Linked DNA regions of Tamandua tetradactyla. The protein of the gene in region 3 interacts with the protein of the main gene of each other region in a pairwise test. Links are inferred from orthologs where the notes say so. Each region holds a gene or a part of one and is shown on either strand. Other genes may lie near its edges. The genes, in order: LATS1, ZBTB16, LDOC1 and MFAP1.

Region 1 (7,160 bases), on a different chromosome or scaffold from region 3:
ATACCACAACAATTAGTTATAGAACCGATTCCAGAGTTTGGTATGGGTTACAGTTCCACAATTTTAGGTTCTTCCTTCTAGCTGCTCCAAGACACTGGGAGACTAAAAGAAATATCAATGTAATGATTCAGCAATCATACTCATTCTACCTTCTCTGTTAAAATTCCACCTTCTCCTTTGATCATTCTCCCAATCTTTAGGGGTATTTGGGCTATGCCCATTCTAAGTTTCTCATGTTGGAAAGGGGTGTTGATAATATGGGATAGGGGTATGGAACTAGTTGATGTTCTTGGAGAGGCTAGTTCCTCTGGGTTTTAGAACTTATCTGGCCTAGGAATCCCTCTGGAGGTTGTAGGTTTCTGAAAAGTATTCATAATGCATGGAATCTTTGTAGAATCTCCAATAAAGCCCTGGGTGATTTTTAGGGCTGGTAGGAATGGTTTTAGTTGGGGTTTGGCAAACCATGGTAAATAACAATATCTAGGTGAAGCTTGTGTAAGAGTAACCTCCAGAATAGCCTCTTGACTCTATCTGAACTCTCTCAGCCACTGATACCTTATTTTGTTACAACTCTTTTCCCCCTTTTGGTCATGAACCCTACCATTTATTTTTTAACTATGACCAATTGCTTTTATTTTTAATTACTAATAGCAGTGCAACTTACTGATATTTATAAATAATGGTAAATGAATTGTACTAAATTAAATCTTCCATTTTAATTTTGGGGCACTTTACATGCTCTATGGTTTTGTGGTTCCACTTCTCACAATAAGCATTAAACACCAGGGCAAAGCTCTCCAGCAGACTCCTCCCCACCAAATTCAAAGGAACAAAACAAACTTTCCTTTAACAGTCATTTTAAAATCACAAAAGATTACACTTGTTTCTGGATTTCAAACCCATGGGACTAAATGGTACCAAACTGTAGCATCCTGCCATATTTCTTTTTAAAGAAATTATACCCAATCCTCAAGGCCCCATCCAAAAACTTCCTTTTTCACTAAAGCTTTCACTGAACTCCCAACTGTTATTCTCCTCTGAACTCCAAATGCACTTTACATGAGTTTAAATAAATATGACCATGTTTTTTGTTCTATTCATGTTCTTGTTTTATTTTTCAAACTAGATCACACATTCACAAAGTATAGGGTATACTGGAAATAACATTTTCAGATGAGGAAAGGGATCCAGAGAAGCAAAGTGGCCTGCCCAAGATCTTATAGCCAGCTGGACTCTACATATAAACTCCACATAACCTGGCCCAGCCCAAGGTTATTTTATACATCCTGAGCTTCCTGAGGGTAGGGTCATGACTCGCACATTCACAGATGGGTTACTTAAATTGGTTAGAATGAACAGTCTTAAAGTCTCCACTTCCTTGAAAGTTCAGACTTTCATCAAAAGTACAAACATCAGTAAATGCAAACAAATACTGTTGAGTATCTTGCCAATGCTAAGGAATAAAACTGGAACTGTTACATAATAAGATTTCCAAGAGTTACATTGGGTTGCACTAGGATTATAAAAACATGGCCTTTCTCAATTTTTCAAATCGATCAGTTATGAGAATATCAGCAGTAATATGTGCTGCTTCTTTCTTAGCAGCATAAGTCTTCATCGTCTTAGTTGTTTGAATTTATGCAATACTGACATTTTGAGTCATTTTCTAAGAATTAATGATTGAAACTGAAAATAATCACTATATTTATCTTCATACTGAAAAACTGATTGCCATTCTTACCTAACAAAAATCTTGTGATTTACAAAAATCCCTCATTGACCTAAATATAACATTTAGAATGATAAAACTAAGTAGCCAGAGTTCTGACTGTTCCAACACTATAATTTAGAACAGGGACTAGCATTACACACAAAAATTAAATATTGGTTGGAATCCCGATATCGTACAAAAAAAATGTTAGTAGAAGAATTTTTTTACTTGCTTTTAGAGAATAGCAAAGCACATTCAATCAATAGGTAGGATTAAAAAGAATGTTCTTTCCACCGCATGGGCCATGATCTAGTTTCTCCCTTAGCAGCCGATCAGAAGAGCACAATGCTACTTCTTTTACTGTTAAATCAGTCAAATTCCTCCCCTGCCTTAGGAAATCAACGAGCCCATTTTACCTGTCAATGTATTAAAGGACAGAAGTATTCTGAGTTAAAACAATTACAAACCTTAGTATCGTAGTACAGAATATCCATTTCAATTATAATTTCTTTCTCCTGGAGGAAATGAAACATTTTTAACCTTCCATAAACAATCTGTAAAAGCCTGACAAGTTTCATGTTCCCGGGCACTCAAATCCATTTTAAAAGCTGAAGTGATACAACAGTATTTTTTTTTTTTTTTTTGAGTGAGACTATACTTACTTTTCACTAGATTTAGAATAACTTCTTCTCTTTTACTGTTTTCTCTTGACCTTCCACCCTGGTCACGACAGACAGACACGCGGGACTCATGCGTGGGGGTGGGCGGAAGAGAGCGCAGGCTGACAGTTCGCCGGCTGCCACCGGCACCGCAGGCTCTGCCCGGCAGAGCGGCTCCTCGGAGGCCCAAGGCCTGGAGGCTCTCCCTGCAGGCCAGGCGCGGGTTCCCGGGGCAAGGATCGGTTCCGACCATCGCCAGAGGCGGGTTCGGCCCGCACAGGCCGGCTCCGGCCTTCGGTTTGCCAGCCTGCAGCAGCCCCTGGACCCAAGCTAGCGGGGACCGCGTAGACCGGCGGCCACAACCCCATAGACTAGGGCTTGGGAGGAGAGGAAGCTGAACCCGCTATACCGCCCCAGACCTACCTGCAGGGGAGAGCGGGACTCCTGGACAGCGGCCACGGGCCCGTGGCGGGCACCGAGGCTGCCGGAGCGCGTTGCGGGGCCCCAAATATCCCGGGAGGAAAAGAGGGAGCAGACAAGGAGAGGCGGGCAGCACCCGTCGCGAAGTCGCGGGCACCTGGTTTTCCGCTCAGCACCAGGCCACTAGCGCCACCACCACCGTCGCCATTTTGCCTTCCACTCCGTCGCCGCCGCCGCAGGTTTCCCGGATGTGGGCATTTCCCGGCGTCGCTTGCGCGGTCAGGTCTGGCGGGATCTCGCTGGCAGGCACCCTAGAGCCAGACTCCACTGGAGCGAGCGCGATGCCGGTGGACCCCGGTCCGGTCTTCAGGTTCCCAGGACTCGGGTCCCCGACCAAACCCTTAAGACCCGGTGACCCCGGATCCCTAGACCTTCTGACCTTGGGAACCAGCACCCGGGCCCTATGGACCTCCGATCCCGGGCCCTACCCCTGAGCCCGGGTCCTGGATGAGTCTTCCTGGACCCGGAACTCCAGATTTCGGCCGGCGCCTCTCTGCTGCAAGTCAGTGAGCTTCGCCCATGTGGCGCCTGCCTTTTTCGGTCCAATGATTCGCCCCGTTTGTGGGACAAGGCCCTTCCCCCGCCCATGCCTACCCCTTTCTATTTCGATCTTTCTCTTTTATCTGTAGAGTTCTTTCTATGGATCGGTCTTCAGGAGCTTAATTCTCTGAAGAAGGAAACAGCAGTGAGTTGCATTCTGAAACCTCGCTGTGGACATCAGATTCAGGATTTCTAGAGGCTTTGATTTGTTTATCATACTTTACCCTTAATACACCTTTGAGCTTCAAGAATATGTATTTTCTGAAATCAGCCAAATAATACCTTCCTTGATCACGGCAAATTGTTGAACAGCTTTTAGATCTTTGTCCACCATTTAGATAGAAAGAGAGGTAATATTGCTATAATTAGAATAAGAGTGAGGGATGTGAGTTTTATTTCCTGTTAAGTTGAATTGAAAGTTTGGAATAGGATCAGTGGGTGTCTTAGTTTGCCAATCTATTTGGGTTATTTAGAGAAACAGAACCAAAATGAAATATCTATAAATATGAAATTTTATAAAAGTGTTTCATGCACCTGTGAGACATGCATGAGTCCAAATTCCATAGGGCCAGTTGATAACAGGCCACTCCGACAAAGCCTCTGGAGAGGCTTGCTGAAGAAATGAAGGTTCTCTCTTCTCCCTTAAAAATCTTCAACTGATTGCTTTAAATTAAAAGGCTTCAACTGATTGGATTTTCTCATTGTGGAAGATACTCCTTTAGTTGATTGTAGGTGTAATCAGCCACAGATGCAGTCAACTGACTGATGATTTAATAAACCAGTCTTTTGGTTTATAAACCAGCCAGGAAATGTTTTTGAATAATGGTTAGGCCAGTACTTGCTTGACCACACAACTGGGCACCATCACCTGACCAAGTCCGCACATGAACCACAACCAGGCTGCTATGACAAATACCACACAATGTGTTGGCTTAGCAACAGGAATTTATTGGCTCACAGTTTGTAAGGCTAGAAGTCCACACTCAAGGCAGGAGCAAGACCATGCTTTCTTTTCCCAAATTGTGTAGTTGCCACAATCCTTGGGGTTCCTTGACTTGCATCTCTGCCTCCTGTCACGTGATGATCTCTCCTTGTGTCTGCTCCTTGGGTTTCTGCTGACTGCTAGCTTCTGGCTCCTGGCTGCTCTATGACCTTCTCTGAGCTTCTCTAACTTCTCTTTATAAAGCTTCTAGTAATATGGATTAAGGCCCACCCTGTGTCAGTTCCTCACACCTTAATTAAAATAACATCTTAAAGTTTTGTTTACAATGTGTTCACAGCTACAGGAATGTAGACTAAGATGAAGAACTTGTATATGGTTGCGGTACATAATTCAGGCTTAATAGTCACTGGGTTTGTGATGTTTGGAGGCACTGTCCACCCTTTGTGAACAAAGCCTTGCCAGTTCCAGCCCTAGAAAATATATACAAATAGCATTTTCAAATATCTCCTTTGTTCCTTTTTCTGTTAGAGTAAAATTTTTGTTTTAAGAAAATAAGCTAGCATATGACCCAGCAATTCCACTTCTTGGTATATACTCCTGTGTCAGTTTGCTATGCTGCAATATATACCAGAAATGGGTTGACATTTACAATGAGGATTTATTAATTTACAATTTACAGTTCTTAGGTCATGAAAATATCCCAATTACGGCAGAAAACATCCCAGTTAACGCAGAGCACAGGTATCTCTGTGCTGCCAGCATCTGAGACACCTCTGTCAGATGGGAAGGCACATGGCCAGTGTCCCAGGTTTCGTTGCCTTCAGGTCTGGTTCTAGTGGCTTCCTCTGTGGGTCCTCTTAGGTCCTCTGGGGGTTTTTCTCTCCAAGCTCTGAGTGTTTCTCTATGAGATCCCTGGGCTTTTTCTTTTTCTGTCTTTTATCCTGTCACAAAGAACTCTAGTAAAAGGATCAAGACCCACCTTGAATGGGGTGTGTCACATCTCAATTGAAATAACCTAACAAAAAGGTCCCACCCACAATAGGTCCATACCTACAAGAATGGATTAAAAGACATGGTCTTTTCTGTGGTACGTAAGAGCTTCAAACCAGCACAATCCCAAAAACTGGAAGTATCTGACTTGAACAGATACTTGTACACTAAAGTTCATAGTAGGGTTATCCCCAAAGGTAGCCAAAAGGTGGATGTGTCCATCAACAGATGAATGGATAAACAAAATGTATATACATATAATGGGATCTTTTTCAACTGTAAAAAGTAATGAAATTCTGATATGTGCTATATGTGCTAGAACACAGGTGAACCCTGAAGACATTGAGTGAAATAAGCCAGACACAAAAAGACAAATATTGTATGATCCTACTTATATACAATACCTAAAAGAAGCAAATTTTATAGAGACAGATAATAGATTATAGATTACCAGGGGGTAGGGAGGGGAAGAGAGAGTTATTGCTTAATGAGAGCAGAGGTTCTGTTTGAGGTGTTTAAAAAGTTGGGGTAATGAATATTGGTGATAGTAACACAATATTGTGAATGTTACTACTGAATTGCACCTCTGAAAGTGGTTAAAATGGGAAATGTTGAGTTGTACATATATTACTGCAATAAAATATTCAGATACACAATCCTGAGTAAGACAAGCAGGTATGTGAATATATTAGTTCATATAATTCATATAATTTTAGGGCCGAAAGGAACCTAAATGTTATTTAATCCTCCATTTGAAGAAAATAACACCTAGGGCTATTAAGTGGCCCACCTCCGGTCATATCCCCTAACTTTCACAGATTGGAACTTAATCTTTTATTTTAAAAGCATTTTTTCATTTGAATTTCTGGATACAGTCGCCACTAGTTACTTTAACATCAGGAAAAGAAGTCTAATTTTTTTTTTAGCTTTTCATTGTAGCAACATACATAACTCAAAATTTCCCATTTTAACTACTTTCAGGTGTGTTATTCGGTAGATTAGTAGCAATCACAATATTGTGGTACCATCACCAGTATACATCTGTAAGATCCTATTGCCCCCAGAGTCTTGTCACCTCTGTCACCAATCTAAGAATCTTCTTCACTTAAACTCCTTGGTTTTCTTTAAGCCTAAAGGAGCCTATATTTGTAAACCATTGTCCTTAGAAAAATTTTTAGATAATTCAAGGAGTGCAGTGCATTGCCCTGTGTGGGACTATGAGAAGATTTACTACTATGAAGTAGTAGGGGAGAAGATCAGGGAAAGGAGACAAGGAATGATCAGGAGAGAAGGTACAACTGACAAGATGGAAAGTGGCTGTAACTGTGCAGCATGAAAGGGATGCTGGACATGTAAGAATGGCAAAGACTGACATTGCATTTGAAGGTTTTTCTTTTGCTGTTATAGAAAACCCTTCAATGTTTTATGGGGGGTGGTTGTGGTTTCATTTTGTCATTAGCAATAGATAATGGGGGCCAAATTTATGCTTGGGTGCTTGTACCAAGGAAGAGGTAGCCCACATCTATGAAGTGTGGAGACCAATGTGGTCCTGAGCATATCAACCTTCCCCAACTCATACGATCTAAGGGAAGGATTTGGAATCACACAGGTTGTGGAAATCAAGGTCAGAAGAGTAGGGTCCCATCACATTATACATCAGATGTCTTAATTTGTGCAAGTGTAGTCAAGGTTTCCAGTTCTTTGTTAGACAATTGATTCCTGTGATTTTTCTTGTTCATTTTCTCAAGACTTGTCTCAAATAGGATGACCCCTCATCTAGAATCCTGAGTAACAGAAATAATGTGCTAAATTGATCATCAGGATTTTATTAATCTCT
Region 2 (7,865 bases), on a different chromosome or scaffold from region 3:
AAGTCCTGTGACCAGGAGTGGCAGCGAAGCTGGACATGGCTCCCAGGCGCTAGAAGCTCTATTGGCACCAGCATCCACAGAGGGCCTTACAACCAGTATGAAGAGAAAACAGGCTGAGAGACAAAGGCCTCTCCCAGAGCCGGGCTGGGATCATTAACAGGGCTCTAGGACTCCCCAACCTGTTCAAGGAATGTTAGAAAGACTTCACTGGCTCAGGTTCCTCCCAACCTGCGGCTTGCTGTGGTCAATATTGCAGCAAACACAGTGGGAGCAAAGCAAAGCAAGGTTTCTTACTTGCTCTTAGAACACTGCTTGCCTCCGCCCCCAAAAGAAGACCTATTGGTTCCAGTCACAGCACTCGGGCAGAGAGGGTTAAAGGGACGGCTAGTCAAGACACCTCTGCTGCCCACCCCGGGGTGGGGGCCGAAGCCGTCAAGAGTAGGGTGGTCATTCACCTGCCCCTAGCCAGCTTTCCAGCAAAACTCGGGATATCAAGGAACTAAAAGGAAGCAGACGAAAAAATGGAAGCTTGGCTACCCAACTGCCTCGCCAAAACAAATTTCTGGGGTTCCAAGGACATCAAGGTGCTTCTTGGTCAGATGTCTCCCGACCCCACAGCTCGGCGCCCGCGATCAGGCCAGCGCTGGCTGCAGCGCCCAGCCCGGCGACACGGGAAAAAACTGGCGCTAAACCTCTCGATCCCTGAGGATCGGTCGTGCTTTCACACACACTCCCAGTTCCCAGCGACCCCCACGCAGACTTAGAGAACACTTCAGCAAACTTGGGGAATCAACTTTTCCCGGAAAGCCAAACAGCAGAAAGAAAGGACGCGGGACTAAGAAGGAGGGAAAGCGAAAGAGACGTGGCTGAAAGGCGAAGAGTCCAGGCGGGCTGGACAGCCACCGCGAGAGCGGCGAGGAGACGGACCCGCCCCGGAGCGCACAGAAAGCACAAAAGCCCTGCAGCGAGTGGTAGGAGAAAAACCGAGCTGGGGTCGTCCGCTCCTCTCTCCCACCCAGGGCCGTCACCCCCAGGGAGCGATGGGCAGGGTCCCCAGACTCGGACCGGGGTGCAGGCAAGCGCCAGCAGCCAGCCTGCGCGGGGTTCCAAGCATCTCTCGGAGCGGACGAGAAGGTGGTTGTGAAGCGCGTCTGTGCGTTCAAGGAGGTCCGCGTTCCGGCGGGATCGTGCGCGTTTCCAGCGCACGAGAGTCGGTGTGTGCCTGCATGCGTGTGAGGGAAGGAGTGTTCTAGGGACTGCGCGAGCGTGCCGCCGGTGCGCGAGTGTGAGAAAAGCATCCCGAACGCATCAGGTGCAGAGCCCAGGCACCCACCGAGCGCGGCCGGGAGCGCACGGCGAGCTCCGGCCCCTCGGCCAGTCCCGCCGAGAACCGAGGGCCCAGGGCCTTGGAGACCCTACAGAGCTCCGTGTGACTGCCCCCTAAAATAGAGTGAGCGAGAGAAAAAGAGCCCACCACGTTTCTCAAAGAGAAACAAAACCCAAGCGAGTCCCTTTCCTGCTCCCTTCCACCCCCAGAATCACTCCTCTGATCCTCCGATTCCAGGTTCCCCGTCGGCGGGCGAATAAACACACAAATAAATAAACCACAAGCCGTTCTCGCGGCCGCGCACCCGTCCTCATACACATGAGCACCCACCAGATCCCGGCTCCTCCGCCTGCCCCTGAAGGTACAAAGCCACCCTATCCCCAGTAGACCTCTCTGTCCCCCACCTCTCACCCCGACAGTGCCCTGCAAGGGAGAGGTTGAAGAAGCAGCTGCGTCCAAACTGACAGCCCGGGCTCCCCTTCTAGCCGACTCCCCAACCGGCGGAGGCGACGGCTGCAGCAGCAGGGAAGGAAAAAGGCCGAAGCAAATAAGGCACAATCAAGCGGCCGAGTGGCCGAAGCGAGCGCGCTCCCCGAGACCTCTCCAGCCCCGGGGCGCCCGGGTGCGCGGCGCTCGCTGGGCGGTGCGCCCCTCCCCGACCCTCCACTCACCGCTGCGGAGCCGGGCGCCGTGGGGTGGATGTGCGTGCCTGTGGGGTGGGGGGTGTGCCTGTGTCTGGAAAGGGTGTTGCTGGGGAACTGTTGCTCTCGGTATCACAGCGGCAGCGGCGGCATAGCCCGGCAGTTCGCAGTACCCGCTCTCATCACCCTCAACTCCTCTCTGCTGCGAGGTTAGCAAATCACCACCGGCTGCGGCGCCTCCGCCGCGTCCCACGTCAACGTCGAGCCCCCTCCCCTGCGAGGCCCCGGCGCCTCTCCATCTTTAGTGCTGGCGGCCGAGCCCGGCTCCCTGCCCACAGCTGCCCCCCTTCCCTCCCCCTCGCTCGCAGTCCCCGGGCTCAGCCCGCCCACCCCCAACACTGGCCGAGCCGGCGCGCGCTCCCAGCCCCACCCCTCCCCTCCCCTCTCTCCTCCCTTCCCCTCCCTTACTCCGCGCTCCGCGCTCCGGGCTTCGCCTGACATCTAGCTGCTGCTAGGGCGCCGGCGGTCGCCGCTCGCCGATCTAACCGAGAGGAGCGAAGGAGCGAGTGGAGAGGAGTGCACGGCACTCGGAACGCTTGATGGGGGCAGTAGGGACACGAGTTCTGCTTTCTCACGGTGCTCCCGGTTGGAATTTTATCCTGGGTTCCAGTTTGCTCCAATTCAGCGTATCAGCTCTCGCCTTTCACTTTTTCCCCGGACTCGGGGTGTATCCCTAGTGCCTACATACACACATTTACACACACACACAAAAGGCTGACTTCCTAATCCAAGCCCACGCTCCCCATCGTCCCGCCAGCTACGCGCCTCGGGCGGTGCGCACCTGGATTGCAAGAAGTCTCCGGGCGCAGAATTTGCGTTCCCTGGTGATTCCAGTGCCAGAGGGTCCGCAGGGATCAGTCGTTGAGGAGAGCCACCCATTTTAGCTGTCGCGGTCGCTGAAGGCCGAGTTCGCGGCCTGACAAACTTTTCTCCCTCTCAGCCTTGTACATCCCCTCGGCTCTACCCCCCAGGAACCTGGCTGCGCCCTGCTCCAAGCTCAGTTTGGAGAAGCTTTGGGCCCTTCAAATGTACCTCCTCCTCTCAACTGGCCGCCCCAGTTAAGTGCCCCTGAAACATGCCTTTCCTCAGGCGGCGGAGAGCGTCTCTCTCCCCTTTTCCCTGTTGCTGGGCAAGGGAAGATAGTTTGAGGTGGGAAGCGCTCCTCCGAGCCCAGGCTTCGGCGGAATAACACCCTAGAGCGTCCGGGTGGAGAGGATGGCTGGAGAGCGCCATCCAGGGGTCTCGGGATAGTCAGCCGGGAGGATATGGCAGTCTTAGCAATGAGAGGCGTCAATCACCGCCTCCTGGAACAGGACCCGTCGGTGAAACGCGTGGGTCGAAGGTTTTCTACTGGGCTCACGTATAATCACATCCCGACGCGCCCCTCTGGCACTGCCTCAGGTCGAGTCAGGCTGCAGAGTAATGGAAGACGGCGGAAGCCGACTGGTGGCAAAAGTCGGCATCCATCCTCAGAAGGCCAGAATGCAGAGTTTACATATCAGAACTGATCCGGGTACCAAAGAACTGCTAATAGGATAGTTCCAAGCACCAATCATTCCATCCCAGGAAGTATTGCTTTTGTCTCCTACTTGCAAGAAAAGTGTTCAGACTTGCTGAATTAGGACTCAAACGCAGCAGGTTGTGTAGGAGAGAAGACCGGTCAGGAAGCCCCCTTGGAAATGCAGGCGGGGAACCACTTATCCTCAGATAGTGTGCACACCACCCCAAACCCGGGCATGGTGTAGCCCAGTCCATGGGTGTTCAATTTTGATTAACAATAATGTGCAATTCCTATTTAGAGACTACTATTTTCCTAGCTATAGCCAGTGCACTGGGTAAGAGGAAAGGAATTTAGAGGAAGTTAAGAACTGCTCTGCACAGAGGGCAAGAGGGGAGGGAAGTGAGGAGAAAAGACCCTCCTAATGTCTCACTAGGGAAACAGAAAGAAGAATCATTAAACTTACTGGGCTCTCTGGATGTGGAAGGCAGAAGGGAGCCTCCTGGCTGTTCACATCCACCTACCAGCCCCTCCACAATCTGGTAGCAGGAGAAGCACACAATTAACCCCTGATCCTAATCTCCTATTCATCCTCAAATCAGAGAAAGAGAGAATCTCTGGAAACAATGGAAGAGAAAGAACAATCCCTCCCTGGCCCTGGACTCTCCCACCCCCATGCCATATTCACTCTATGTGAAAATCTCGCTTGCTTCATAAACTCTGCCCATTAAAAAAGCCTGGCCCTTGTTAGTAAGTGTTAAAGAGAGATTACTGCCTGAATTTAAGAGGTGGAGAAGGTAACAAAAAGGAGGAAAGGCAGGCAAGGCTGTGGGCTGAATGCCAGCCTTGGGCTCCAAGCATTTTCACTTAGGGCTGAAGGCTGGCTGCACAGCAGTTTGATAAGGTTTATTGGGCCCAGATAAAGCAGCAGCAGCTTCCCCACCAAAACTGGCACTGTTTATAGCCAGGCTGTGTCCTTGGGTCCTGGAATGGCTGATGAGAATCCGCAGTTCAGAGATTTCATATGGCAACACCTAAAAACAAACAGGATGGAAAACTACTATGGGAAACTGTCTTTTCTTTTTAATGTTCCTGGATTTGTGATGAATTTTTATTTTTGTTTTAAAGGGTGTTGTGAGAGAAGTTGGGACATTGCTTCTGGAGGAGAGACAGTCCCTGAGAGAGATCATGCTGGAGACTAGGAAACAGAATGAGGTCCATTGCTAGATTTTCCTATTCGTTCTTGTCCTCCTTCGCCTCCTGCCTCCCTCCAGTGGCACCCTTTCAGAGCTCAGTTTTAGAAGAGGAGGGTACACCTGGTCTAAGAGAACTTGCAGATCTATGAATGCAAACGTACTACCAATGTTTGATTTAACCCTTGTAATAACCCTATTAACACAGGTACTATTATTATAGATGAGAAAACTAAAGCCTTTTCCAAGATCATAGAGCTATTAAAACATCAGAGTTTAAATCAGACCATTCTGACTGAAAATCTCATGCATTTAACATCTGTATTACACAGCCTCTAGCGAGATAGGAAACTTCAAAAGTCAAACAAGGACTTTTAATTATCCTCCTCTTTCTCCATTGAGGGCATGGTCTATGCAGCAGCCAGCCCAGCTAACAACCAAAGAGTTCTCCATTGAATCAGTCCACCAAGTAAAGTGGAGTTAGATCCCCTAAGGTTCTTTGCAATTTTCTTTTTCAGAATCTCAGGCAGAAGTTGGGGGAGGGAGTTTTGAATTACAATAAAGCTTCAACTAAACAGATACCCAAGAAGAAGGCTATAGTGGTCTTTAGAGTATTCTGATTGAGCATTAATGGAATGCTACAACTCTTTTTATTCCAACTCCTGTCTGAAAGAATTTTTAAAGTATAAATGTAAACTTTCTTATTATGATAAATGAATCAAGGAAGCCTACCTTTGGGGGAGAAGAATCTACTTGGCATTTCCCTCAAAACCTTGTGATGGGTGGGGAATGAGGCATTTTCAGGGAAGGGTGCAGGCAATGAAGCCTCTGAATGGAAAAGAATAGACCCCCACTCAACTGAGAACTCCAGGTGGCCCTTGGAGTAAAGCTGTCACTCTACTCTCAGATCTTTACCCCAGTAGGGACTCTTAGGGGGAGACACAGCAAGCCTATTGTGTCCTTTCCTGGAGGCAAAGGATCTTACAATGCTGCAGTGTCACCACTCCAGACATCTACTAGATAGATGCAGGTCATGTAAAAAAAAATTATACCAAAGAGGGTACACGGGCAGTTCAGTGGTTAGAATGGCCACCTTCCATGCGGGAGACCCGGGTTCAATTCCCGGACCATGCACCCCACCACCCCCCCCAAAAAAAGACATCATGTTGAATGAAATAAGCTAGACAGCAAAGGACAAATGTTGTATGTTTATATGAAATAATTTAGAATATGTAAATTCATAGAGTCAGAAACTAGAATACAGGTTGCCAGGGTCTAGGGTGCTGGTGAAGAATGGAGAGTTATTGCTTAATTGGTACAGAGTTTCTGTTTGGGGTGATGGAAAAGGTTTGGTAATCGATGATGATGGTGGTAGCACAACACAGCGAAGCAGTTAACACCACTGAATTGTATATTTGAAAGTGGATAAAATGGAAATTTAAGTCTGCATATATGTTACCAGAATTAAAAAAAATACAAACCACCATGGAACTGTACAACACAAAGAATGAACCCTAATATAAACTGCACACTATAGTTAATAGTATAATTATAATAATATTGTTTCATCGATTGTAACAGGGGTATTTAACACTAATGCAAAATGTTAATAATAGGGAAAACTGAAGGGGACTGATTATTTGGGAACTTTGTACTTTATGGGTGATTTTTCAGTAAGCCTACCACTACTCAAATAAATAAATAAAACAAATAAGTAAATAGACCCAGTATAATTTGCCCCCAATACATAGGTTGGCAGTTTTCTTTGTTTGTGGAGTTCAGGCCTTTCATATTACTTCCTTAGATGCCACCTCAAAAAGAAACGGAGGCAAATAATCAGGTGGTGTGTGGATTCTGGTTAATTGAGGGCCAGAAAACCAAATAAAAAGATGGCTCCTTTGATTAGACAGTGCCATCATCCCTCTTTTCCCTGAGGAGCTCTGGTTAGCGGTATTTACAAACTTGGCCTTCTCTTCCACTTGCTAAATATGCCCTCCCTCTAGTCCGTAGGGCAGAGAGTTGCTCAGAGGGCAAGGAAGAGGGGTTATTTCTTTTGGCCCCTAGGGCTTTGGGTCACAGTGACCCCGAGATCCTCATGATTGAAGAAGAGACAGCTTTTTCTTCTCTTTCATTCTCTTTCTCTCTCCAGCATATTGCAAATGGTGTTGGGACTTAATGTTGTCAACTCAAATAGCAAATCTGAGTTGTTATTAGTGCAAAGATGCCCTGAGGGGGTAGGCAGTGTGGATGAAATCTGCAGCGGATGTTATGGGGAAGTGTGTTTATAATTATAATGGGATTTAATGTACACTGGGACCAGATGATGGCAGCCATTTAAAAAAAAGATGCTTAATAAGAGAGGTCCCTTAATGATAGGCAGCAGGGCTCAGGTTATTATGGAAGATGCACAGTGTTTCACTGGGTGTCACAAACCATGTGCCAGGTTTTATGGGGTTCCTAACAGAGCTTTGGAGTGAGGCATAGCAACCTCTGCTGTCAGTTATTGGGCATAATGTTTTAACATTGTTGTCTTTGAAAGAGAGCATACGGACTTAGAAAAAAAGCATTTTCTCTCTTTTGGATACACATACCCACATAAGCACAAACACACAGGCCCCGGGCCAACATTGAGGAGTTTGGGGTGTTTTTGGAAATCTGCTTTGTTCCAAGAAAGACAGCCTCGATTTTAAAAACAAAATTTTGTAGCTACCAAGGGGTAGGGATGCATTTTCCATACAGTGTGCATGAAATGAAGCCACATGATTCCCATTATGGGTAATGGGAGTCCCACAGCTAAATCCACAGACACTGTGCTGAAAATTAACCCCCAAGTTCTCATCTGAAACGGCCTTTTAAAAACACTTTGGTGTTTCTTTGGGGGTGGGGGGCGGGTGGGGGGTGGCTAGGAAGAGGGGAAGTATGTAACATTTCCTTATGCTGTTTAACTTTAAATAGCCTTCTGTTTAACTTGTTTCCCTTTATGGATTTCAATACAACAATTTTCATTTTTAACAGCCCCTGTTTTCTAACAGGAGTCCTATAGTTATGGACAAAGCCTGGAAGCGCCTAGGAAGGCAAGGGACTCCTCAGAGAGACCACCAGCAGCACCAGAGTCCGGGAATACAACCCCATGTCGTCTTTACCGA
Region 3 (6,002 bases):
GCTTTAACTCAAGCACCTGAAAATAGCATTAAAACAATGTTACTTGGATAACTGAAGCCTGAACTCAGCTGCAGCTCAGAAGCAATAAGGAGTAGTGTCCAGAACTTCCCTGGCAGTGTTGAGAAAGGAATCCAAAAGGGATCAAGGAAATAGGAATGTTGTACATGTATCCAGGTCTACGCCTGTGGTACAAGTCTAATTATTAATAGCCTCCCCTTTCACTCTCTAAACTGTCCGTGTGTGGGATGATGTGCCACCTTATCAGCCACCCATGCCACCCTAGAGGGCCCAGAGGACACTCCCTTCACCAAGGCTTTAAGAAATACCTTGGTGAGGAGAGCACCAATATCCCTATAAAGCCCCGTGGTGGCTGTCTTCCATGCCTTACAGATGACAGTAAGGAATGCTGTAACCAAACTGGGTTACCTGATCTCAGTGGGAATACAGGAAGCCAGAGTAGAAGGGAGAAAGATCAGTGATAGCACTTAATCATTAAGAGACAATAATTTCTTTTTTTTTTTAGTAGTGCTTGATATTTATTGAAAAGAATGAAAAGGTTTTTTCCAGGTAGCACTGAGGAGGAGGGCTGAGAGCCTGTTTTCCTTCATTTGGTTTATTTTTAGTTTTTTGTCCAAATGCATACATCTGTGGGACCGCTGCAATTTTGGAAGAAAAATGACAAGTGTGCAAGACTGGGTGCGCAGGAGAAAAAGAATGTCACGATTTGGCTACCACGTATACGAGGCCCCTGCAGCAATCTAGTGGGGCAGGGGAGGACTCTGGGAGTAGGTAGGAAACAAAACAGGCTGAAACACTAGCCCTCTTCTGGGGTTGGTGGGCTGTCCAAATCAGCGTCCAAGGAGGTGTAGCCAACTCAGGCAGCTTTGAGGTTGGTCCTTATCTCCAAAGGCGATGATCTGTGGCGATGTGATGTGTGCAGGTGAAGTGGCAGCGTAGGTCTCTGGGCAGATGCAGGCCTGGCAGCAGCACCGCTGTGGTGTTGTCTGTCCAGTGTGTCGCAGGGACCTGGCCCACCACTGGGGCTCAGGACACAGTCCATATTCGCAGGGGAGGGGTTCTGGGGCTGGCAGAGTGGAAAGGCAGGTAGAGCACTTCAGAGCAGCAGGTAACTGGAGCACTCCTTTGAACAAAGGCAAGCTCTACGAGGGGACTGGGCAGGGGGAGGGAAGAGGGCCAGAGCAAGAAGAGGAGTGTGGCGGCTTCCAGAGAGGGGAAAGAGGAGAGGAAGGAGAAGAGGAGGAGGGTGGCGGCGACGTGCGGGGGCATCTAACCCCCTACCCTAGGCCCTGGGCTCTCTGGGCCTAGTAAATGTCATCTTCATCGTCATCGTCGTCGTCTTCGCCGTCATCCCAGCCAAAGTACTGCTTCATCTCATCGAGGAAGGCCCGGTAATCACCAAGGATGGGGCTGTCCATCTCGATGTAGGGAACCACCCACTCCTCGGCTTCCCCGCTGAGGAGGCTGATTAGGAATGCGACCTTCATGGCGTCGTTGCAAAACCGGTTCTCGTTCACGAGCATGTAAGACGCCGTCTGCACGATAAACTCGGGGAGCCGGGAGCTCTCGCCGTTAAACGTTTCCGGGAAGGGCACCGGGCAGCTGGGCGGACGTACCTGGCGCAGCAGGCTAGCTCTCTCGCACACCAGCAGCCGCAGCTGCTCCATGAGCTGGCTGTTCTCGATGCTCAGAGCACGATGCCGCATCAGGAGGGCGTGCAGCAGCAACACCAGTTCGTCCACCATCGCGAACCGCTCAGAGGGGTCCACTCGATTCGGCTCGGTCAAGGTCCACACAGAAGCCTCGCAGGAAGTGCGTGTCCGCCGAGACGCGCCGCCAAGAAGGGCGGAGGGTGGTGCGCGCCGGGGGCCAGGCGGCTGCGCAGGCCCCGCCCACAAGGCCTCAAGGGCGGTCGGCGCGCCAGCCCGGCGCGAGGAGGGTGTGGTCAGAGGAGGGGCCGGCCGACCCTGGGAACCGCCGCTGAACTGCAGCCAAGCCCCGAAGCGGCGCCCTGCTGGAACCCAAGGACCCAGAGGGCAGGAAGACCTTACTTCAGAGGGCAGACCCGCTCAAGTTGAAAAGATTAGCCATCCCACCGCACCTTCGACTGCCTCGCACAATTCAGTTTTCTTTCGTGCATCTGCGGACACCAGATTCCATTTGCGTGAAGTTCTGTTAACACATTTCCCTGCTTTTGAATATAGACTCACCCAGAAGATTATCGATTTGGCCCTACTGACCACAGAAGTGCTTGTCTTGCGGGAGTCACAAATCCTTACAGAGACATGAAGAAAACGGTATTTAAGCAGGGACTTTTCTGGAGTTAGAAAATAATGTTGTACACTTCCTCCTTTTTAACTTTTTCTTAATAGTGCGGTATAAAAATTTCTGCAAAATCAGCATCTGATAATCTTTTGCAGGCAGACTTTATTTCATAGTCTAATATTAGTAATGCCCCTCGACCACGGGTATTATGCATTTCTTAGCAATGAATAAGCTGCTTGTGCTTCTAAATGATTTTGCGTTTCTTCTTTGAATAATCACATTCAAACTTGTTGAGCAATTCAGTTGGCCCACGACTTTAGAATGCACATAGCGTTTTGGCTCTGCTTTTTAAAATAAATCGCCAATTTAATCACTTCTTATCACTTCCACTTCCACTACCCTGATTCAAGCTTTCGTTTCTTACTCAGAGGGCTTCAAATGATCACTGAGCTTTCACTCTTGATCTCTGACAGTCTATTCTTCACGGAGTAGCCACAAAAAGCCTTCGCACAAAGGTCATATCCCATCACCCACCCTGCTCAAAACCCTCCAACAGTTTCCCCTCTCAGAATAAAAATCAAAGTCCTGGATGGCCTCCAGGGCACTAACTTGTCAGTGACTGGCCACTGGCTCTCTCTGACTCACTCCAGTCTCTTCCCATCCCTAGCTCTGCTCTAACCACACTGTCCTAGCTGATTCTTTTTGTTTGTTGGTTTGTAAATATTTTTATTGAGAAATCTTCATACACATGCATTCCATACATGGTATACAATCACATACATACATTCTATACATGGTGTACAATCAGTGGCTTACAATATAATCACACAGTTGTGTATCCATCACCATGGTCGTTTTTAGAACATTTGCATCACTCCGGAAAAAGAAATAAAAAGAAAAAAGAAAAAACTCACACAATCCAAACCCCTTACCCTCCCTCATTGACCACTAGTATTTCCATCTACCCAATTTATATTATCCTTTGCCCTCCTATTATTTATTTATTTTTATCTTTCTTTTCTTTACTCATCTATCCATATCCTGGATAAAAGGAGCCATCAGCCACAAGGTTTTCACAATCACACAGCCACATTGTAAAAGTGATATCTTTATACAATTGTCTTCAAGAATCCAGGCTACTGGAACACAACTCAACAATTTCAGGTACTTCCCTCCAGCCACTGCAATACATCATAAACTAAAAAGGGATATCTATATAATGCATAAGAATAACCTCCAGGATAAACTTTCGACTCTGTTTGAAATCTCTGAGCCACTGAAACTTCATTTTGTCTCATTTCTCTCTTCCCCCTTTTGGTCAAGAAGGCTCTCCCAACCCCCTTGATGCCAAGTGCCAGCTCATCCCAGGATTTCTGTCCCACGTTGCCATGGAAATTTACACCCCTGGGAGTCATGCCACACATGGGAGGGAGGGCAGTGAGTTCACCTGCTGAGTTGAGTGCCTTCATTCTTGCTATTTCCTCTACCTTGGAAGGATGTCTCCCCAGTTAGTTTTGGAGTAGATTTACCTGACTACTCCGTCTATTGGAACGCCTGGCCCTCTGCTACTTACCCTGCTTCATTTTTCTACATAGCACTAGTTACACCAGTGGCCATCATATTATGTAGCACTTTTATCATTTTATGACTCCACCTTTAGAATGTAATTCCATGCAGACAGGGATTTTGCTTTGTTAGCTGTAACTGTCCCTAAAGCTGAGAAAAACCTAAGGCCCAGAATAGGTGCTCCTTGAATGTTTGGGTAGGGAAGGAAGCTCAGGGTACAGGTGTAAAGATAAAAATTAGAAGTGATGGTTGCACAGTATCCAAAAATACTCTTTAAATTATCCCATATGTTCTATCTGTAATCATGAATCATTCCAACGTGAAGTGAGAATTGGCATAATAAAAATTGCAACTGGATATTTTAAAACCTTGTTCAGTCTTTTGCTATAGAACTGAATGGTCACCCCTGGAAAAGCGAGGCTGGGAGAGAGGAGAGAAACAGGGTCAAGTTTCAAGTAGCAAGGAAAAGAAGAGTCATTAGGAGAGAGGGTGGGCAGGGAAAAGAAGAAGTAAGTGGGAATGTGAACCCCTAGCCCTCCTGTGATATGATCTACCCCTTCCCCCCTTAGACATAAGCTCCTTGAGGGCGGAGCAAAGGCCCTCTCTCTTTCATCCTTTCATCTTCATCATCTGAAAGTGTTACTAGGTGTGCCATATATGTTCAGTGGATGGAATAAAGGGATCTGAAATGTTGGGGGGAAGATTTTTGGCCATCCTGCACATTCACAGGTCAGATTAGACAAGAGCCTGGCTGGGGTAGAGGCAAATGTCCAGCTCTACCTTTTAGGTCCAGGCTCTGATATGGAAGAAATGCCCAGGGTTCTACTCCCAGGAACACACAAGCTGTGACAGGTACTGGGCCGTGTGACTGACCTGGGCTGTCAAATCAACCCATGCACAAAGGCCATGTTACAGAGGTGGGTACTACACCCTATTCTTATTAGACAAGGATACTGAGACCCAGGAGTTACTGACTTGGCTAAGGCCAGGTATTGTAGTTTGCTACCTGCCAGAATATGATATACCAGAAACAGAACAGCTGTTTATTATTATTATTATTGTTTCATTTTTAAATACCAAAAAACACTAAACAAAAGCAAACATTCTTATTTTGATCATTCCGTTCTACATATATAATCAGTAATTCACAATATCATCACATAGTTGCATATTCATCATCATGATCATTTCTGAGAACATTTGCATCTATTCAGAAGAAGAAGTAAAACTAAAACAGAAAAAATATGCATATATACCACAACCCTTACCCCTCCCTTTCATTGATCACTAGCATTTCAGAACAGCTTTTAAAATGGGGTATTTTATAAGTTGCAAGTTTGCAGTTGTAAGGCCATGAAGGTGTCCCAATTAAAGCAAGTCTATAAAAATGTTCAAATTAAGGCACCAGCAAGAGGTTACCTTCCCTCAAGAAAGGCTGATACAGTTCAGGGTTTCTCTCTCAACTGGAAAGGCACATGGTGAATATGGCGATGTCAGCTAGCTTTCTCTCCAAGCTTCCTTTTTCATGAAGCTCCCCCGGGGGTGTATTCCTTCTTCATCTCTGAAGGTCTCTGGCTGCCTGGACTCTCTGCTCCATGGTTCTTTCCAAAATGCTTCTAAGACCCACGTGGAATGGGTGGAGTCACATCTCCCTCTAAACCAAGGTTAATATCCATAATTGGTATGTCAAAGCTCCACATAGATAATCTACTCAAAGAATACCAGCCTGCATTATTGAATATGGATTAAAATAAACATTGCTGGGCGGGCCGCGGTGGCTCAGCGGGCAAAGTGCTTGCCTGCTATGCCGGAGGACCTCGGTTCGATTCCCGGCCCCAGCCCATGTAACAAAAACAAAGAGAAACAAAATACAATAAAACAAGAAAATGTTTAAAAGATGTTTCCCTTTCTTCCTTCCTTCCTTCCTTCTATCCTTCCTTCCTTCTCTCTGTCTTTCCTTTAAAAAAAAATAAATAAATAAACATTGCTCCCACAAGATTTGATTAGGATTAAGCCATGTCTTTTCTTGGGTGCATAATCCTTTCAAACCAACACACCAGGACTCAAAAATATTGGCCACATTGTACCACAACCCAGCCTCTCTGACCCTAAAGCACATGCCTTTCCACTGGACAAAATTAATGCACTGGGCT
Region 4 (7,906 bases), on a different chromosome or scaffold from region 3:
CAATATTGGACTAAGGTTAATTTCTTAGTTTGATAAATGCTCGATTGTTGTAAAAGATATTAACATAACGGGAGGGAGGGTGAACGTATATGGGCGCTCTCCGTACTACTGTGCGACTCTTCTGTTAAGTATAGAATTATCTCAAAAGTAACTGTTAAGAAATTCTTTGTGAAATGAAAATATTTAATAGAAGGGGTGGGAGATAAAATTTAGAAAATTTCCAAGAAATTAGTACAAAATCTTAGACTTGCAGGCCAAGACTCTTATCTATGATATGACAAAAGCCTCTCTTCACTTGGAAAAGGATGACCTTATAAACTAAAGCATGGTGTCAGAAAGCCTTAGTCATTTTATTTCAAAAGGACATTTAATACAAGGAAAGACAACAAAAGAATGAAGTATTCTATAAAAAATGTTATATATTGCAGTTTGTCCTAAGAAAATTTATACTGGGCATTTATGACTCTGCTTGACTATATTGTACACACCACCTCATGTTCTAATTCCTCACATCAAACTAAAATCTGCCAAAGAGATCATTTAATCCAGTGGTTATCAAAGTGCAATTCCAGACTAGCAGCATCAATGTCTCTAGGACGTGCAAATTCTATTCCCTACCACAAAACTTCTGAAATCAGAAACTCTAGGGTTGGGACCCAGCAGTCATGTTTTGACAAGCCCTCCAGGCAACTCTGATAAAGGTTAAAATTTGACAACTACGATCTAACCCAATCTTCTCATTGTAAAGGTAATTTGCCTAAAGGCACACAGTCTCTTAGAAGTTGAATGCAGAGATCCCAACTTCCAAGTGTCCACGTGTATGACTCACCCAGTGCTCTCCCACCATAGGTCCTTTCTCACCTCTGGGACAATAAAGCATAAATCTAATTCCTAATTCATAACAACAACGCTTCAATTATCATACCTTCCTCTCTCTACCATCACTTTTTATTCCCCTAGTTCCATCAACCTGCTGTCATGTGCTATGGTCTCAATTTGGCTTAAGTAAAATTTGTCACTGAACAGAGCACAACACTCCAGAAAGGTAGTAGAAGCCAAAGGAATGAGATACCTAGTTCCATAAACTGATTCAAGCTATTATTTTATACAGAACTGATAAGTGTTTCATCTGTCTCTGTATTTGAAAGGAACTATTACTGAATACATCAATGCAATTAATGATGGTTTTCCTACCCTTCCATGAAGGCTCACTCAAATGTCACATGTCCCACAAGTTGACTTCTTCTAATATACGGGTAATGTAAAGGTAAAATAAGTAAAATGCCATAATTGAGGACAGACCATGGTGGCTCAGTGAAAGAGTTCTCCCCTGCCATGCCAGAAACCTGGGCTCAATTCCCAGTGCGTGCCCATGACAAAAAAAAAAAGCTATAATTGAATGTGTAAACCCAAAACCATATGCAATAACCTGAGAGGGAAGCAGAGTGAAGACTGAAAGTCAATCTCTCTTCAACACATCAAAACCAAGAGAAAAATTAACCCAAGGAACTAACTGGTTAAATATTTTTAAAATAATAAAATTTCAATTCAATCCATTAGATGACAAAATAATTTGTTTGGCCAAGAGAGACCCTTGATAACCTTAACTTCTCAGAACCTCAAATTTCAAAACAATAAGAAAAATTAAAACAAACAACTAATTAAATTCTTACCAGGCCTGGTGTGGTATCTCCATCACTGTCTCGATCCTGACAGCTTTCCACATCAACACTGAGAAACACTGCATCTGAAGTGCTCGGCAGTAACTTGTTATTTTCAGTATGAACATCTAAGGATGATTTTTGCAGAGTGGATTCTGCCTCGGAAGTGGTTTCCATATTTGGAGTTAAAATCCCTCTGCAAATTTTCTTTATTTCAGTCTTCTTACACAGCACTACTTCCTTGTTAGAATTCTTTTCTAATAGGGATTTAGAGTACTTAAATTGGTCTAGTTTGTAATTACAGAGTGAAAAGGGGATAAGACAAAACTTAACTGATTTTCCTAAAACTGGAGACTGAATTGGTCTCAGAGATACAGAAGTGATGGTTTCATTTTCTTTATATTCATTCACCTATTCAGGTCAGTAAAGGAAAAACAGTATTAGAAACTCAGGTCTTACGCTTTTTCTTACAAGGTCCCCAATAGATCTGTAAAAATAAATCTAATTCCTATATCTTAATCACAATATAAATCCAAAGTGATAAGCTGTAAGAAAAACTTTTCTTCCCCTTCAAAATCGATACCTAATTCATTTAACTGAATGTAATTATTATACTAGCCCATTTCTTGCATATATGAGTTTGTCAGAGCAATAATTAGGACTACAATTTTTAACTGACAAGACTATCCCAACTGTCAGCTTCTGAAACTTTAGAATTGTTTACTGTGACGCTGACAATAACTACAAATGCAAACGCAGGGGGCAGGAGAAAAGGAGTGCCTAATCCGATGTGTGCCGCTATCTCTGAGGTTATTGACAAGAACTTTTCTCAACACTGAAGGCCTAGTTTTCCACAGAGAAAAAACATAGCAGGGAATCTCGCTTATCTTTTGAAGCAACACCCCCCAAAAAAGCCCAGCAATCTGCACCCAGGGCGGGGAATAATTTAAGAGCGCAGAAGTACCCTGGGCCATATACCCGTGCTTTCGGGCCTGTGCCGGGAAGATTGCCTCAAGAATACTGAAGGAGAAGAACACCAGAAGGTGTCAACCCGATTCTCACCCTTACCTGGGGTCGCTGCCTGGAGCCCACCTCCTCCCCAGACGCCGCGCAGGACCCGGACATGTTTCGGACACGTTTTGGCTCTCAGCAGCTGGCGCCTTCCCGCCAACAGATCGGCGGGAGGCGGCGGTGGGAGGGGCCTGGCCGTGAGGGGCGGAGCCCGGCGGGTGCGAGAAGCCGCCCCGCGCCCCCCCCCAGGCGCTTCCAGGCTCAGGTGTCAGCTGGCCGGGCGGGGAGGACTGTGATCAGCATTGACGAAGGCAGGTTTACCTGCCTCACCCTAAGATTAAAATGCTTTAAGGATGCGGTGGGACCTAATCGGCAGTTTTACCTTGAATGCCGGTGATTTTAATTCTGGTATTGCCGGGTTCTCGCTTTGAAAAAGTAGCTCATTTGCCTTGGAGATGTAGCCTGGGAAAGACTGAGAAGCACCTAGATTGGGTGTGCAATGTAGGGAAGGTACAACAAAATCAACATGCAGCCTATACCTTGGCCCACTGGCTCCTTATTACCCCATCACCAACTTAACCTACTGCTACTGCAGGATCTTCTCCCTACGAAGGGAAGCATTTTGATTTTTTTCAAGGGCTGATAACTGATTTAAAATTCATATTTGACTATCTTCCTACCGGTTAACCATGACCCTAATGATGACTTTAAATGGCCCAGAGGCTGGAAAGAAGGAGTTACAAATCAAATAATTTGTGTATCAAACTATAAGTTGCAGGGGTGCAAGAGTAGTTCAAAGGTAGAATTCTCGCATGCCATGCGAGAGACCCGGTTGATTCTGGCCCATGCACTTCCCAAAAACAAACAAGCAAGTAAGCAAACAAACAAACAAAAAACCAACCAACCAACCAAATTCAAGAAATGGTGCTGCAATAATGGATGCTCACACACATATATATATATATACACACAAATTACAAGATTTTAGTGCACTGTATTTCTAGTCATATCCATATTAAAACTTTTTTCTATATTTTGAGTTACTATGAGCCAAAACAATTGCCTTCCCATCAGATTTACTCCCTCTTGATACCATAATTTTTTGAGTTGATAAATCCATTAATAGAAAATTGTCTTTAAGGCCCTTTTCATCCTAGCCCCAAATTGCTCCCTTGATTGGTTACTTTGGCCACCCAATGTCCTTTGCCCAATTTCAATTCTTCTTCCAGACTAAGCTAAGTTTTAGAACACAGATGAAATAATTTGAGAATTAATCATATTAAAGCATCTTTCAAGTCTCTCCATGATCTGATACTCACACAACTTTCACCACTCTCATATTAAAAAGTTACTAGCAGATAAACCCAAACTTCATGGTATCCCACAGGTACCCTGTAATTTTTCTCTTTCCCGCCACATTATTTCCTTTGTCCCCTAAAATGTGTTCTGACTTCCAATTAGCCATTTTTTAATACAACGTAGCTAGTAAATTGGGGCGGTTTCTATTATGATTCTAGATGTCCTTGAAAACTTTCAAATTAGAATCCAAGCAACATAAGGATGCCAGTCTTTTAATATTACATACTCCTTACGAACAGCTAAGCCTGGTGAACACAGTTAGTATTCAATCATTACTTATTGGCTGTTAATCTACAAACACTTTCCTGCAAAAAAAAAAAAAAAGTATTCTAATAGTCGTCCTCCAGAAACTGAAAGAACCTGAAAAGCCTAAAATGGAGTGCTGGAATTTCAGGTATTTTCCTAGGCGCTTCGGGATTTTTTTTTTTCCTTGCAACTGGCCAAAACCACCACCACCTGCTAGCGTGTGACCTAAATACCATACCTCAGGCCACCACAGCCTCATTAACTAAGCTAATTAAGATGCCATTATTAGCAGGATTACTATCCGGACCCAATTCTAATCCTTCTGAAATTTCAACAATCAGGACAAGCAACCCCTCACTATCTCCTCAATTTCTCCTTCATCACTACACCATTACCCTCGGCTTCAAACCAAGATAACAAGCGAAACTTTTGATTCGGACCTTCTTCGTCGCAAAGCCTAAAGGAAGCAATTTCCCGCCAGAAGCGGCTTCCAAATCCTGCAATATTGAAGACGCGAAGTCAGTCTATGAACATGCGCAGTAACAGATTCGCCCTCCTAGGCACAGGCGCCCAGGCGTCCTCCAATATCCCACAATCCTCTGGTCACATATTTCCGGTTTGTCTAGCCCAGACGCAAGTGGAGTTTCCCTCAGTCTTGCACCCGCGTCCGGTGGACCTAGGGGGAAGTTTTTTTCTTGTTGGTTGACGTTGTCGTGTTCACTGTTTAGAATCAGTTAGGTTCTGGGAGTCACCGCCGCTGCCATCAACATGTCGGTCCCAAGCGCACTCATGAAACAACCGCCCATTCAGTCTACGGCTGGAGCCGTTCCAGTTCGCAATGAGAAAGGTACTGTGCTGAGCCTCTTTGCAGTGGGATCTTACCTGTTTCTGCCCCAGCATCTTCCCAACCCATCCCCCGAGCCGACCACCCCAACCCTGCCGACACGTCCTCCAGTTTCTTCGACCTTCCCACCTTAAACTCGCACCTGATCGCATTGTCTGGGGAGATGGAGTATTGGGGGGAGGGGGGGCAAAACCACTTGTATCTGAGCTTGTTTTTATGGCCTGCCTGCTTTTACGTAAAGCACCTCTCTTCCCTTGGCCTCCATCGATTCATAGACTAATGTATACTGAATGCCTGCAGTTCCTTTTTTATCCCACATGGTAGCTTGTTAATGTTGTTATTATAACTTATCAAAGATATTTATGCGCCTGTTTCCCCTTTGCTAGATCATAATTTTATAAGCTCCTTGAGGCAGGAACCATGTCTTATTCAGCTTTACATCCCTTTCAACGAATGCAGTGGCTGTGCTTATTAAATTGAATATAAAGTGGTGTGGGGCAGTGCCTATAACCTTCAAGAACTCATATTCTAGTAGACGTAAGACATGCAAAAAGAGGCACATTCTAAGCAGTGTACAGTCTTGTGGTTCCTGTCCAATAGGTATAAACCAAGTGCTGTGGAACAGCCAGTTTTTTCAGTAAGGAAGTTGGAAAATATTATCAGTTCTTTCTTTTTTGCTTTATAAGTATACTATACCTACCCCTGTGCCGCTTGCCTTTCTTTTTAAATAACATGACTTTTGAGAATTATCCTTCCAGTACACATAGATTTAATTAATTTTAACTGCTTATGAATTACATGACAACTAAACTATAGCTTACAAATTACAAACAGTGCTACAGTCATCATTCTTAAATGTGTGAATGAGAATTTCTCTAGGGTAGACTCCTGGAGTTCATCATCAACTTTACTACCTATTGCTAAATTGATCTCCAAAATGGGTTACAAGGGAAAAAGAGTTTTTATTTCCCCATGTAGTCATCCATACACTTAGTTGTATCAGATTTTTAAATTTATGTTTAATAGTTGTGAAATGGTAGTACAATACTTTAATTTGCATTTCCCTGATTACAGGTGAGACTGGGCATTTTGCTTGTGTATTTTTCAGCTCTCTGGGTTTTATCTTCTGTGAATTACATGTTTTTTTCATTTGCCCATTTTTTGTTTGGTTTTATTTTCATACATTTCAAATCTGTAATGTCTTTTTCCCTCTTTTTTTTTTTTTTGGCTCTTCTTGTAACTTTAATTATGGAGTCTTCTGTTACAGAAATATTTTTAGTTTTAGTGTAATTATATATTTTTTATGGTTTATGCTTTTTGTGCATATTAAGAAATCTTTCCCTACAATGAGATCATAGATATTCAGTCTCTAAACGTTTTCTAACATCTCAGTGTTGTGTGTATAATGATACAAATGAGTTAAGGATCTTACAGTTTAGTAGGGGATGTAAATGTTTTAGATTTTTTCATGTTTGGGTATTTAATTCATCTGAATTTTGTCTTTATGTGATGTTAGGGGTACATAGAGACCAGCAGAACAGAAAGGACAGAAAAGACACGTCTGAGAACTTGCTGTATTGAAGTAGTATTAAAAATTAGTGGGAAATGAAAATAAAATGGGAGAGTTGGAAGGTGGGCCACGGTAACTCAGTAGGTAGAGTTCTCACCTGCCATGCCCAAGACCCGGGTTCCATTCCCGATGCCTGCCCATACCAAAAAAAAAAAAAAAAATCAGTGGGAAATGGATGGGCTATTCAGTCAATGGAGTGGGGACAATTAGCTAACCATATGGTAAAAGGTAAAATTAGATCCCTAACTCATACCACATACAAACAAAATTCCAGATGAATTAAAGACCAAAGTATGAAAAACATCTTAAATATTTACATCCCCTACTAAACTGAAAGATCTTTAACTTAGAGCCTATTTGAATAATTGTGCATATAACACTTATATGTTAGAAAACCTTTATAATCTGAATATATTATTTAAATATTATAACTTTAAATAAGCCTTGCTCTGGTACAGGGAACCTCCACATTATGTGGTACAGAGGACCTTTCATTTGTCTTCAGAACCGTCTTGGCTCTTAGCCTCCCTTTCCATATGATTTTCAAATCAATCTGGGGAATGGAACTACATTAAAAATTGTAAATTTATAGATTAACTCAGGCATGGTCACCGTCTTCTCATGAACATGATGTATTTCTCAATAAAACATTTAATTAGATCTTTCATATCGCTCAGTAAAATTTTTTATTATTCTTCCTAAAACCTTGCATCTCATTTCTTGAGTTTTATTCCTAGGTTCTTTATAGATTAGTTGCTTTTATAAATTATATTTTTAAACTACGTTTTCTAACTATATGAACCAATGTACAGATAAATTCATTTTTATATGTAGGTCTTTTATTCAGCTCTCTGAGCTTGAACTTTCTGGGCTTGTCTATCTTGTATTTTCTACATAGAGAATCATATGGTTGTAAATTATGGCAGTTTCTTTCTTTTTAGTCCTTACACCATTTATCTCTTCCTTTTTCTTCTTGCCCAACTTAGAATCATAATACACTGTCGACTAGAAGGTGTGATAGGAACAAAATAAGAATACCCTCTGTTTTTCTAAGTTTAAACCATCCCCTGTAGTCCTGAGCTAAATCTTAATCTGTCATGATGGCTTGAGGTTTTTGTTTGTTTGTTTTTATATTGCTGGAATAAATTTGCTTTATGTTTTTTAGTATTTTTTGTATCTATGTTCATAAATGAAATCCACCTTATGTTTTCCTTT

Evidence for each region.
Region 1: the proteins of LDOC1 (region 3) and LATS1 interact in a two-hybrid assay, tested with the Homo sapiens proteins (2 studies listed by BioGRID and IntAct). The two-hybrid records come from large-scale screens. The link is inferred for Tamandua tetradactyla from reciprocal best matches to the Homo sapiens genes LDOC1 and LATS1.
Region 2: the proteins of LDOC1 (region 3) and ZBTB16 interact in binary tests that used the Homo sapiens proteins (3 or more experiments, as listed by UniProt). The two-hybrid records come from large-scale screens. The link is inferred for Tamandua tetradactyla from reciprocal best matches to the Homo sapiens genes LDOC1 and ZBTB16.
Region 4: the proteins of LDOC1 (region 3) and MFAP1 interact in binary tests that used the Homo sapiens proteins (3 or more experiments, as listed by UniProt). The two-hybrid records come from large-scale screens. The link is inferred for Tamandua tetradactyla from reciprocal best matches to the Homo sapiens genes LDOC1 and MFAP1.

What each region holds. Positions count from the first base shown.
Region 1 is NC_135328.1:141,250,533-141,257,692, forward strand, and holds the start of LATS1 (serine/threonine-protein kinase LATS1), read right to left. Parts: upstream 3,025-7,160; 5' UTR 2,794-3,024; exon of another isoform or gene 2,478-2,793; intron 1-2,477. UniProt on the Homo sapiens protein: Negative regulator of YAP1 in the Hippo signaling pathway that plays a pivotal role in organ size control and tumor suppression by restricting proliferation and promoting apoptosis.
Region 2 is NC_135334.1:26,938,974-26,946,838, forward strand, and holds the start of ZBTB16 (zinc finger and BTB domain-containing protein 16), read right to left. Parts: upstream 3,005-7,865; 5' UTR 2,810-3,004; intron 2,298-2,809; exon of another isoform or gene 1,999-2,297; intron 1,926-1,998; exon of another isoform or gene 1,739-1,925; intron 1-1,738. UniProt on the Homo sapiens protein: Acts as a transcriptional repressor. Transcriptional repression may be mediated through recruitment of histone deacetylases to target promoters. May play a role in myeloid maturation and in the development and/or maintenance of other differentiated tissues.
Region 3 is NC_135353.1:16,899,014-16,905,015, forward strand, and holds LDOC1 (protein LDOC1), read right to left. Parts: upstream 1,884-6,002; 5' UTR 1,764-1,883; coding exon 1,323-1,763; 3' UTR 518-1,322; downstream 1-517. UniProt on the Homo sapiens protein: May have an important role in the development and/or progression of some cancers.
Region 4 is NC_135340.1:58,064,172-58,072,077, reverse strand, and holds the start of MFAP1 (microfibrillar-associated protein 1), read left to right. Parts: upstream 1-4,883; 5' UTR 4,884-5,045; coding exon 5,046-5,124; intron 5,125-7,906. Other genes in the region: WDR76 (WD repeat-containing protein 76), read right to left, coding at 1,674-2,072, 2,730-2,786. UniProt on the Homo sapiens protein: Involved in pre-mRNA splicing as a component of the spliceosome.